Xenopus tropicalis: one gene and its partner. The protein of the gene in region 1 purifies or fractionates together with the protein of each later gene. This does not show direct contact. Links are inferred from orthologs where the notes say so. Each region holds a gene or a part of one and is shown in the gene's direction. Other genes may lie near its edges.

What was found. Proteins that work in one complex are often made in the same cells at the same time.
Region 2: the proteins of ppp2r2d (region 1) and cdca4 purify together in Homo sapiens (affinity purification with mass spectrometry; 3 studies listed by BioGRID and IntAct, counting the BioPlex papers as one, with this or other methods). This does not show direct contact. The link is inferred for Xenopus tropicalis from reciprocal best matches to the Homo sapiens genes PPP2R2D and CDCA4.

What each region holds. Positions count from the first base shown.
Region 1 is NC_030683.2:21,324,006-21,329,305, reverse strand, and holds part of ppp2r2d (serine/threonine-protein phosphatase 2A 55 kDa regulatory subunit B delta isoform), read left to right. Parts: intron 1-855; coding exon 856-953; intron 954-1,548; coding exon 1,549-1,714; intron 1,715-3,594; coding exon 3,595-3,707; intron 3,708-4,246; coding exon 4,247-4,424; intron 4,425-5,016; coding exon 5,017-5,181; intron 5,182-5,300. UniProt on the Homo sapiens protein: Substrate-recognition subunit of protein phosphatase 2A (PP2A) that plays a key role in cell cycle by controlling mitosis entry and exit. Involved in chromosome clustering during late mitosis by mediating dephosphorylation of MKI67.
Region 2 is NC_030684.2:100,009,342-100,015,421, reverse strand, and holds the start of cdca4 (cell division cycle-associated protein 4), read left to right. Parts: upstream 1-2,285; 5' UTR 2,286-2,442; intron 2,443-5,814; exon of another isoform or gene 5,815-6,017; coding exon of another isoform or gene 6,018-6,032; intron 6,033-6,080. UniProt on the Homo sapiens protein: May participate in the regulation of cell proliferation through the E2F/RB pathway. May be involved in molecular regulation of hematopoietic stem cells and progenitor cell lineage commitment and differentiation.

The sequences.
Region 1 (5,300 bases):
CGAGTAAGAAAGGTTGGGGATCCCTGAACCTAAATGGTCCTTTTTGGTTTTGGGTTTTTGCTGTATCCAGGAGAACAAGTAGTCATTACCCAAATCCCACCCTAACTGGACCTTAGTCCGGTTCCCTCTGCCACTGCTCTGTGCCTTGTAGTAGCATCGGACCCACAGTTTGGGGCCCAGATAGGAGCTGTGATGCCAGTAAAGGGTTTGCAAAATCTCTGACAAGAAAGAAAGGTTGGCCAAGTTTGTTCATGGTGATGAAACTGACAAGGGGATGGTCCCAATGTATAAAAAGTTGATGTCTTTTAAAAATATAAAGGAGCCATAGAATAAACGAGGTTTGTACTTAATATGTGGAAAGGGGTTTCCCCAGTGTTTGTTTTAACCTTAAGGCCAGTGCTGCCCACCTTCTGAGGTACCGAGGGCTGGAATTTCTCTGGCCTATGTGGTCTAGGGCTGATAATGGAAGCCAGTTTTGACCACTCCCTTTTTAAGGCCACACCCATATTATCAGAAGAACTTTTAAGACCATACCCACATTAATGGTGTCGCACACCAAAGAAAAAAATAGTGCTCACTGCACGGATATCACCCATCACTCATATGTAAAAAAGGGTTTTTTTATTAAGACATACCCTTAAATCCAAATGCCTCCCTGTGGGTAGCACAGCAACCCCCAGCATATAATTACACACCTAAGAGACACCGTAACAACTATTTCCATATGCAGCAAAATCCCATAACAGCCCTGCCAGGTAACTTATTCTGTATGTGCTATTTTCTATGTTACCTTTTAGGTATCAGATCTTTCATACATGTGAATATAATATCAAGTGATTTTTTTTTTTCTTACAGCTGATATTATTTCAACTGTCGAGTTCAATTGTTCTGGAGATTTGCTAGCTACAGGCGACAAAGGCGGGAGAGTTGTTATATTCCAAAGGGAACAAGAGGTCAGTATTGGATTTCGGGAAAATATTATTATTGATCTGGATTACTGGAGCCTGAGTGCTTCTCTTGTATCTGTCCTGTTTGAATGGCTGTAGCTGCTCCATGTAGTTGGCTACTAATCAGGTACATTGTTTCCAAATGTATAAGCATTATTTATAATATAATTATCTATATGCATTATTTACTGCTATTCTGGCAGTCTACAAGTAGCAAGTACAGCAGTAATGGCCAGAAATATATTGTATTCTATTCTAAGATATATTGATTCATTCAGTGAGAGGGTAATTCTTCACCTTTACAAAGAACTGGTATGGCCCCATATAGTGTGTGCAGTTCCTGGAATCCATGACTTGAATTTTTTCTGACTTTTGTTTCGAGCCCACCTTGACGTCCGACGTTTGGTCTGGGCTGCCCCATACCTTTTACACCCCTTTTATATGTAAATATTGCAGTCATTTAGCCAAAGGTCCAAGAATATCTGGTGTAGAAAATGTTTTCATCTCAAATCAATCTCAAATCTCACCCACTTCTGCTTCCCCAAGGCACGGCTCCTAAGATTGCACTTGAGTATTCAATGTTTTCACTTTTATTTTCTAGAATAAAAGTCGTCCTCATTCGAGGGGTGAATATAACGTTTACAGCACTTTTCAAAGCCATGAACCTGAATTTGACTATTTAAAAAGTCTAGAAATCGAAGAAAAAATTAACAAAATTAGGTGGTTGCCCCAGCAGAACGCTGCTCACTTTCTACTGTCTACCAATGGTAAGTAAATGGGTTTGATCAATACATGGTCCCCCTCCCAGTGGCTTTTATTTTGTGGCTCAAAATAAGCAGTTGGTTTTCACTGGTGTAGTCAAAATGAAGAAATGAAATGCCTGGATGCTGTTAGTGGATAGGGCCACATTAGTTTTATAGCCTATGCAGCTGGAGAATATAGGGTTTGGGCATGCAGTTGTATACTGCCATAATATAGTTTGTATGGCTCTCTATAAATAGGACATTGTGTGTGAATTCTGATGTTTAATTTGTTTAGGTGTGAACTGCTTTTCCTGCTAACAGCAATTTGCACACTGATTTATAGCAATTCTTCTAACATGAGCCACACCTATGTAGAGGATATCTGACTAGTCAACTTAGGTGACAGAAAATAGTCCAGTTTGACTACATGGTGACTAGTGATGTGCAGGCCGGCCTGAAACCTGGCAGAACAGTCTGTAGGTTTACCTGTGGGCCAGAGGGTTCCTGCTGACATCCACACATTCTTTGTGGGGCCAGAGCCCCGATCTGTGACCTTACCATGCCCCAGTTCTGCTTCAGTCAGCCTGTATTAATAGTCTCGCGCCCTCTCCCCACCCACACAGAGATGGATGGGTCGAGTGTGAGTCTATGAATACCAGTAGCTCACCAGTTCAGGTGTGGGTGGGTTAAGGTCAGGTGGGGATCAACTTTTCATTCAGATAAGGAATCTTTCCTTAATTTGGATCTCCATATCTTAAAGGGGACATATTATGTGACAATTAATATTGTGCCAATAAATTGTACTCATATGAATATTGAAGGAATTTGTTTAAAAAGTAGTGTTTTTGGCTGATTTATTAAAAATTTCTCCAAAAACTCCACTAGTCCCACCATCTGTTCGCTTCCTGCTGCATCCTTTCCCAGGCTGTGCCGGGGGGGCGGCAGTACACTGCACTGTAGGATAGGAACCAATTAGCTGCTAGGCTGACCTGATAGGAAACTGAATCCTGCCTTTGCTTGTGTGACTGCACAAGACTTCAGGTTTTTTTTATCCTATGTGTCTTCTTTAGGTAGACTAAAATAATTTAAACATGAAAAAAACTCAGTAGGACTGTTTTGCCTCCAGTAAGGAATAATGATATTTTAGTTGGAATCATGTACAAGGTACTGTTTTATTATTACAGAGAAAAAGTATATCGGTTTTAAAAATAAGAATTATTTGATTAAAATTGAGTGTACAGGAGATGGCCTTCTTGTAATTCGGAGCTTTCTGGATAATGGGTTTCCAGACAACATCCCATGTCTGTATAAGTAAAACACCGCTCCAGACTCCTGCGGCAGTGTCACATACAGTTTTGACTAATAGCCTATGATTACAGGTGGGATTGCCCAAAATATGTTGGCCCATTGTGACGCTAACAGGAGCCTCATGTTTTTAATGAGAGAAAATAAAGGTTTTATATTTAAATTGACACAGTGCTGGTGCTTAGCTCTCCTCTTCTCATTTTAGCTTATTGCCATAAGTACCCATACACCTTTGGCTTCTCTGCCAAACCAACCATTTTGGTGACGTGCATTGGTTGATCATATTATATGTTTGGGTAGAAACCTGTGAGAAGCCACAATAAGGTGCTTCTTGAGAAAGTAGAAATCATTTTCCCCTTATATTATAGCGTCGGCAACTGATAGAACTGAAAGTCCTCAATTGCATTTTTGTTCACCCCAGATATATAGATATTGTCCTTGGGCAGGAGGCAAGAGCCATAGAAATTCCCTGCAAGGTGACATTGTGATGGCCCTGATAGATACAGTATTGTTTGGAAAGAGTGCGCTGTTACCTTACTGAAAGCAGTCATGTACAAAGGTTGTTTTCATGCACTGAAAGGAATTTATCTTCCCTGCAGACAAAACTATAAAATTGTGGAAAATAAGTGAGCGAGACAAACGAGTTGAAGGCTACAACTTAAAGGACGATGACGGCAGGCTGCGGGATCCATTTAGAATTACATCTTTACGGGTAAGTTTTGGGGGAAACAGAGTTATGAAGAAAGATAATTAGAAGGGTACAGCCACTACATTATCTATGGGCATAGGCTATTCTGGGCGAGCAGGGAAGTATTTAGTTCTGGTGCCCCTGTAGGTACTGGAGATAACTACACCCCCAGACAGCGCAATTCCCCCCCCCCCCCCCCATAGCTCCCAACAGATTTCCCCTGGTGGCTACTGGCGAGGGTTTTTATTTTTTCATTCTTTTAACTTAATTGATTATATAGGCACCAAGGACCTTTCCCCTAAGGCTGCCACCCTAGGCACAGGCCCTTGGGTGCCTATATACAAATACAGGCCTGCACACAAGCTGAAGTGGAAGGGAGTTGACTGTGAGAACTGGTAGTAGAGCCCTATGATGTGTAGTGACCATAGTAGTAGAGCCTTTACCAAGCCTTGTTTACAGCTACAAGATGTGCTGTAGCAATTGTGCCCATTTTATTCTTGCTGTTATTTCTTCATTTCTTGCCAAGGTTCCCTTTAACCACTTTGCATGTATTCTCATTTCAGGTGCCAATCCTAAAACCCATGGACCTAATGGTGGAAGCAAGTCCACGACGGATATTTGCAAATGCGCACACATATCATATAAACTCAATTTCCGTAAATAGCGATCATGAAACTTACCTTTCAGCAGATGACCTGAGAATTAATTTATGGCATTTAGAAATTACAGATAGAAGTTTTAGTATCCTTTGCTTACCATCAGCGTTGAAAAATTTACGTCAGTATGGCACTGGCAAATAGAAATATATTCCTGGAGATTCTCCTTACTGTTTATTTTTCCTAGATGTTGGGCTAAATATATGTTATGTTTTATATTATTACTGTCTCATACTATCAGTGAATTTATATAAGGATTTTCATATTGGGAAATTAATTTTTATGGGGAGTGCAGTCTACTGTATGTCGGGGCATGGAGCCTACTATATGTTCATAGCCAGCTATAGAGGTACCTGCTAGTTTTCATCCTATGGGATACAAGCCTAGACACAAAATGGTTCTAGTTAAGCATGAACTATATTGTGTAACTGAGCTTTCTGCTCCCATCTTTTGGTCTTTTTGTTTTCTACCCCCATGTGTAATAAACGGCACTAAGTTTGCCCAGGAGCAGTAACCCATGGCAGCCAATAAGATGTTTGCTTTTAAATAGGTGACCAGAAAATTCTTCCTGCTGATTGGTTGCTATGGGCTACTGCTCCTGGGCAACTTAGTGCCTATCCTTACATAGCCCCCATAATTCTATTCGATTGTTAGAAAAACCTTAACTGCCTTTCCAGACATTGTAGATATTAAGCCTGCTAACATGGAGGAGCTGACAGAAGTCATAACGGCTGCAGAATTCCATCCCCATCATTGTAACGTGTTTGTCTACAGCAGTAGCAAAGGAACAATTAGACTTTGTGACATGCGAGACTCCGCGCTCTGTGATAGACATTCAAAATGTAAGTTCCAGAATTCACCAGGTCACATGTCTGACGAAGGGGCTTCCCCCTAAACATTACATGGTTTGCACTAAATAAACACGCAGGGTTTATCCCACTCACGATTGCCCTGTTGTGCC
Region 2 (6,080 bases), on another chromosome or scaffold:
CGATTCAAGGGATAATGCAAGGCACGGCGGGCGGGAGCTGCTGATTGCGGAAATTACGTTATGCCATCATAACAGTTATTATGGGAAGACGTTCTGTGTGCACAATTAGCTGCTAAGGAGCTAATTGTGCACACAGAACGTCTTCCCATAATAACTGTTATGATGGCATAACGTAATTTCCGCAATCAGCAGCTCCCGCCCGCCGTGCCTTGCATTATCCCTTGAAAGCCAATTTTTTGTGAAATCTCTTATGCAGCCCAGCCTCATCCTGACTTTGCGTCCTGCGGCCCCCAGGTAAATTGAGTTTGAGCCCCCTGCCCTAAATTTATTGTTTAAGTAACACTCCCATCATCACCTGCCAGCTCACTTGACATGTATGTTTCAAATTGCTGAGCCCATGTAAATACCTTGCTGCTCAAAAAAGCAAGTGATATGTTGTTTCTTTCATGTTTTTCTCACAAATAACCGAGACATATATTATAGGTGGTTGTTAGTGACTCAGGTGAGTGAGACAGGTGTCAGACAATGTAACGTTGAATTAGGCTGAATTTTCACATCTTCTTTAAAAACTTTTCCAGGTTTTCTATCAGATAGTAAGTTGGGCAGGTGGGGGTTGAACTTTAGATGTCAGTCAAAAATGATTGGACTCTCCCACTCCTCTCTGCTCTGCCTGTCAGAACTGGACCAAGTTAAAGGAACAGTAACATCAAAATATGAAAGTGTATTAAAGTAATTACAATATGATGCACTGTTACCCTGCACTGGTATAACTAGTGTGTTTGCCTCAGAAAGACTATTATAGTTTATATAAGCAAAGCTTCTGTGTAGCCATGGGGGCAGCCATTCGAATAAAAAAAAGGCACAGGTTACTTAGCAGATAACAGATAAAATGTTATTGTATTCTACAGAGCTTATCTGCTATCTGCTATGTAACCTGTGCCTTTTCTCCTTTTTTCCAGCTTATTTATATAGACTATAGGAGCGTTCTGTAGCAAATACACCAGTTTTACCAGTGCAGGGCAAGATTACATTACATTTTAATTACTTTAAAACACTTTCATATTTTGGTGTTACTGTTCCTTTAAGCAGATCCCCATTTATGATAGTTCCCCTTTAATATACCTTATATACTCAAGTATAAGCCGATCCGAATATAAGCCGAGGTACCGAATTTTACCTAAGAAAACTGGAAAAACGTATTGACTTGAGTATCAAGTTTCAATAATCAAAATAAATACCAATACAATTACATAAAATGAGGCATCAGTGGGGTATAGGTTTTTAAATATTTATTTCAAAGAAAAACCATAAACTAGCTCTGTAAGTGAAGAAGAGGATCAACAAAAACAATATTGTATCAACAATGATACCTTAAGAGTACTACCCCCTTAGCTCAATCAGCAACCAAGCTAAAACACAAAGAGTTAAAATCCTTCAAAACTATATATAGTTTATATAGAATATAAAGTGCAATGCCTAGTGCAGAATGGGACAGGTGAGGATGGTAGATGAAGATGAATTTGGGAGCAGGACAGGGCACTGGAGGGTCTGGTTGCAGGTGGCCTAATTTGCACACAAAGGACAGAGGGTGCTAGTCTGGAGGGACCGATGGCAGCCAACTCGAGTATAAGCCGAGGGTGACTTTCTCAGCACATTTTGGGTGCTAAAAAACTAGGCTTATACTCGAGTATATACAGTAATAATGGACAAATTAGACAACCCTCTTGCTCCATGTTAACAACATTAATTTACAACTGGACTAATCATGTACCCGCATAAAATGGGTGGGGGAGTATTTAATACATGTCATACAGGCCAAGTTTAAGAGAACGGCTTCCCCCATGGTTTTGAGCCCAAGTTACCAGCGCAGGCTAGCTACATTATATTTAAATGCATACAAAACTTTAATTTGGTGTTAAAAAGGAGCAATTACGTGAAGACATTGACAGTAACCCTTTCAGAAATAAACATTTGCAAAAAGTAACTCTTTCTATAAAACCTCAGTGTGCAAAATGATTATTTTTCGGTTTCAACTTTGTAATAATTACGTGTGCACGGAGTAGCAAGCGGTACGGTAACAATGCGTTGCAAAGCCATTCACATCAGCTCCGCTGAAAACAAAAAAGATTTTTCTTCCCTGCTGGGATTCAAAAAGCGGCTCTTTTTTCCACCAATCATGAGACAGGAAGTGGGGCGGGTTTACGATCTCTATGGCAATCTTTTGTCGGTCACGGCCAATCAGGGGCGGTACCGCTCTGCGCACTCCTTCCTCTTTCGGTGGTTAGAGCGCGGGAGGTGAGGTGCCGCCGGGTCCTGGCTTCAGTCAGCTCAAACGAACGCTCCGTACAAAACATTGTTTACACCGACTTGACAGCTTATCGACACCGCCGCCTCTACGTCCGATTATATGCCGCTGGCCTGCGAGCAGCGTCTTTATTACCAGTGAGTAATTCAAAGGGGAGACAGAAGTTGGGGCTGCATTGGAAACTGCTTTGTGGAATTCCCGGCCTTTATAGGGCTGCTTGTATTATAAAAACCTATCTTATATACGCAGAGTTATTAATAGTTGTTGTTAACCACATAGAATAGCGACGGAGCTAAAGCACCAGGAAACAATGAGCAGCTAAAATGGCGGCTCCCTTCCCCCACTCGTCATCTGGAAGCAATGCAGTGACGTCAGTGCCAGGGGCCCCCTGCCTGGGAACTGTAGTTCCGAGCTCCGCTAAGGCTCCAGAGGCCGAACTACAATTTCCCCCAACATTATGGAGGGAAAAAAGTCTCACTTTAAGATTAATATTCGTGTGGTTGACGCGTGCCTACTTAAACGATTTTATGAGTGAATAATATATATATATTTCATATGGGGGCTTGTGTACATTCATGTTAAATTGTGTCAGTTTGTGCATTTGTTTGGTGGTATATTCCATAAAGTGGAGCAATTAAACACTTATTATTTTAGTATGAATCAAATTTCTGTCATGGGGCTTGAACTCTGAAGTCACTTTAGTATTACAACAGTGAAACTGAATTGTATTTACCCCCTTCATCATATGTGCATGTTTGCCACATACACCCTTCTGTTGTACATTGCTGTGGAATATGTTGGCACTTTATAGATACATGTAAAAAAAATGGCAGTAAGAATAATCTCATGCTCTTTAAGCTATTTCCTTGAACAGATCCCCAGCCTATGAGGAATTTGCCTTGTCCCCCAAACCTCAGACTAATAAACAAAACCACTGTGTTAATAAAGCCAACTGGGCATGTATGGGCTGAAGTTGACAATTCAGTCCTTGCAGACTGAGTTGGTGCTTATTGGCCTATGTAAGGGGCCCACTGATGTCCTGTCTGACATCTGGCCAAAATCCACCAATGTTTTATTTTTCATTCTGTCATGTTAAAGGACATGTCAAGCCCAAAAATACATTTTTGCCTAATAAAAGAAAACGTAATTCCAAGCAACTTTCAGGTGTGAATTTATTTAACATTTTTAGTGCTTTAAAAGTTATTTGTAAATGTATTTTCTATTGAAAGCAGCATTTTCTGGATGCTACTTTTTATACAATGTTGCAAAGATCAGTCTCCTCTAGTAAGACAGGTCTGTAAAATCTGCTGCCTTGTGTTACATTGTTTCAAATGCTAGGGCCCCCAGGGTAGAGAATAGAAAAGGACTGGCAAACACTACTCAAAGTCAAAACCCATTGCAGATTTGTAATGAATGTATATTGTAAGTTGATAGAAGTAAAAAAATATATATTTTGGGTTGACTTGTCCTTTAATGTGGTCCTCATCTATTGGGCCTGTAGAGCCACTTTGTATCATTCAGTTGTTGGCTTCTTGGTACAACAATCGGATCAGCTTAGGCTATTAGGCTTGTAGGTGGCCAAATTTGATCCAGTTCTGCTCACTGGCAACCTTGCCAAACAAGCGGTTCTGGCAGTGTATGGCCAGTTTTAGTGACTGGGGGCACATTTGCAGTAGGCAGTTAGGGTTGGGTAGGTTTTTGTAAGTGTAGTTACACATTGCTGTTATAACATAGAACTTTATCTTAATTAGGTAACAGCGTACAAGGTATTTTTCGTTGATGGGTATTTAGCTGGCTGAGAAGCAAACAAAACTATTTATCGGCTCCAGTTTATTAGAATGCTAAATTCCTTTAAGGTAGAGGTATTGGCCCATTTAAGAAAACACTTATAGCACATCCATGGGCTGAAAAGCACCAGTACTAGTGTAGCAAGAAGCAACAGGAGTAGTTTTAATGCTTCTGTGAAAATACTCTGGCAGGTAATGTACCCAGTGTGCCATTAGCCTTGGGTTACATTCATTTGCTGTTAAGCAGACTGTATCACTATTATTTGGGTTGGTTTATTTTTTTAATTAAAGGGATAGCTAAAAATTATTGACCTCCAGGTGCCTTTTTTATGCATAGTTTTATTTAGTTTCTGTGAAGGATCAGAATGAACCATTTTCTATATATTTGCATTTAAAGAACTCTATACTTGTCATTGTCACACTGTAATTTGCTTTTTTTTTTTCAGTGTTCCATGTTGGACCCTTTTTCATGGAATGCATTTGTGGCACCTTGCCCTGCTGTCCTCTTGGCCTGTATTTTTTTGTCTCAATATTAAATTTTTCTGCTCTGGTATTAAAGCATCTATGTTTCCTTTGCATCTGCACTGGTATCTGTTTCTTGCATTCAAGGATAACCTTCTGTACTGTATAGTGATGAGCAAACCTGCAGCTTCCCGCTGAGTCCTCTCTCTCCCTGCCAGGGGTGAGGACGCAGCGGGGGGCAGATCCGGTCCGTGGGCTGTAGTTTGAGAACCCCTGATGTAAACATTTGACTGCACACTTGGTCTAGCTAGTTGTGTGAGCCATAGTCTTTCCTACCCACCTCGGCTGGCATAAAAATAGCAAGCTCCGAAATGGACTGGTTGGTCTTGTATCTTCTATACCTCTGGCAAAAGGCAGCTTATGAGCTGTGGGTAAATCTCAACCAATCTCCCCAACATACCTGTATCTATCTTATTAAATTGTAAAAACGGGCATGCAAGGATAATGATGCATATGCCAAATGGCATCCAATTACATTTCATTTACTCTCTGAATGAAGTGCAAGAAAACATTAAATTAAAAGTCCAGCTGTATATTCTTGGCTTTTGAATTTAAGGCCCTCAGATATTGTTGGACTACAACTTTGTGCATCCTTAAAATTATAATCTATGGCTGAAGTATGCTGGGAATTAATGGCCACAATAGTGTCCAAATGTAACATATAAAAACTGTATACTGACCGATATTTGAATGCGTTGATGTGCCTCACTAAATGAAACCTGTAACACACACATTAGATGTGTCAATTAGCATGCTATAGTCTGTATGCACTTTATACAGCTTATATGTGCATTTTGTTATTAGGTTCTGTAACAGCATTTGAAGAGAAATAATAAACATTTATTAAAAGTGTGACCTGCATCTCCATGTCCAAGGTACAAAAACATTAGTAAACAATGAATTCCAGTACAAGTGCATATGTGGCTGTTTGTGTGTATGACAGCATTCACCAGCTTGAATTTTATTTTTGTTTGCTTATACTCTATTCTTCTGCAACTCAAGCTTGCACCACCCATATTTGCAAAAACTGTTCGTAGGTATGTTCCCAGTGAATCCGTATATAAACAGTTGCCCAAATTAAAAAAAATGTGACTGTCATCAATACTGTTTAATTGTTATTCTCCTCTCTCTAGCTGCCTGCATTAATCCTGTGATAATCCATTAATTAAACTAACCGGTATATTTTCATTTTCTGTGCAGTGCCCAAACATATAAAAACGCTTCTCATTTGAGGAACCATCCATAGTACTTAAATTTTGCAGTGGATCAAGGATTTCTAAGAGTCATGCATTCTCCAGTGCAGAATGTTTTTGTCATTGGCCTAGAAATGGACAGGACCAAAGTTGTATGCCAGTTTTCTTCACTACAGTGTGAAGCAGTACATACATGGAGAAAACATTGTAATGCCTTCTCAAGAGGTATTCGTTTGATATTTTAGTAAATAAGTGGGTGTGATTGCTTATTTT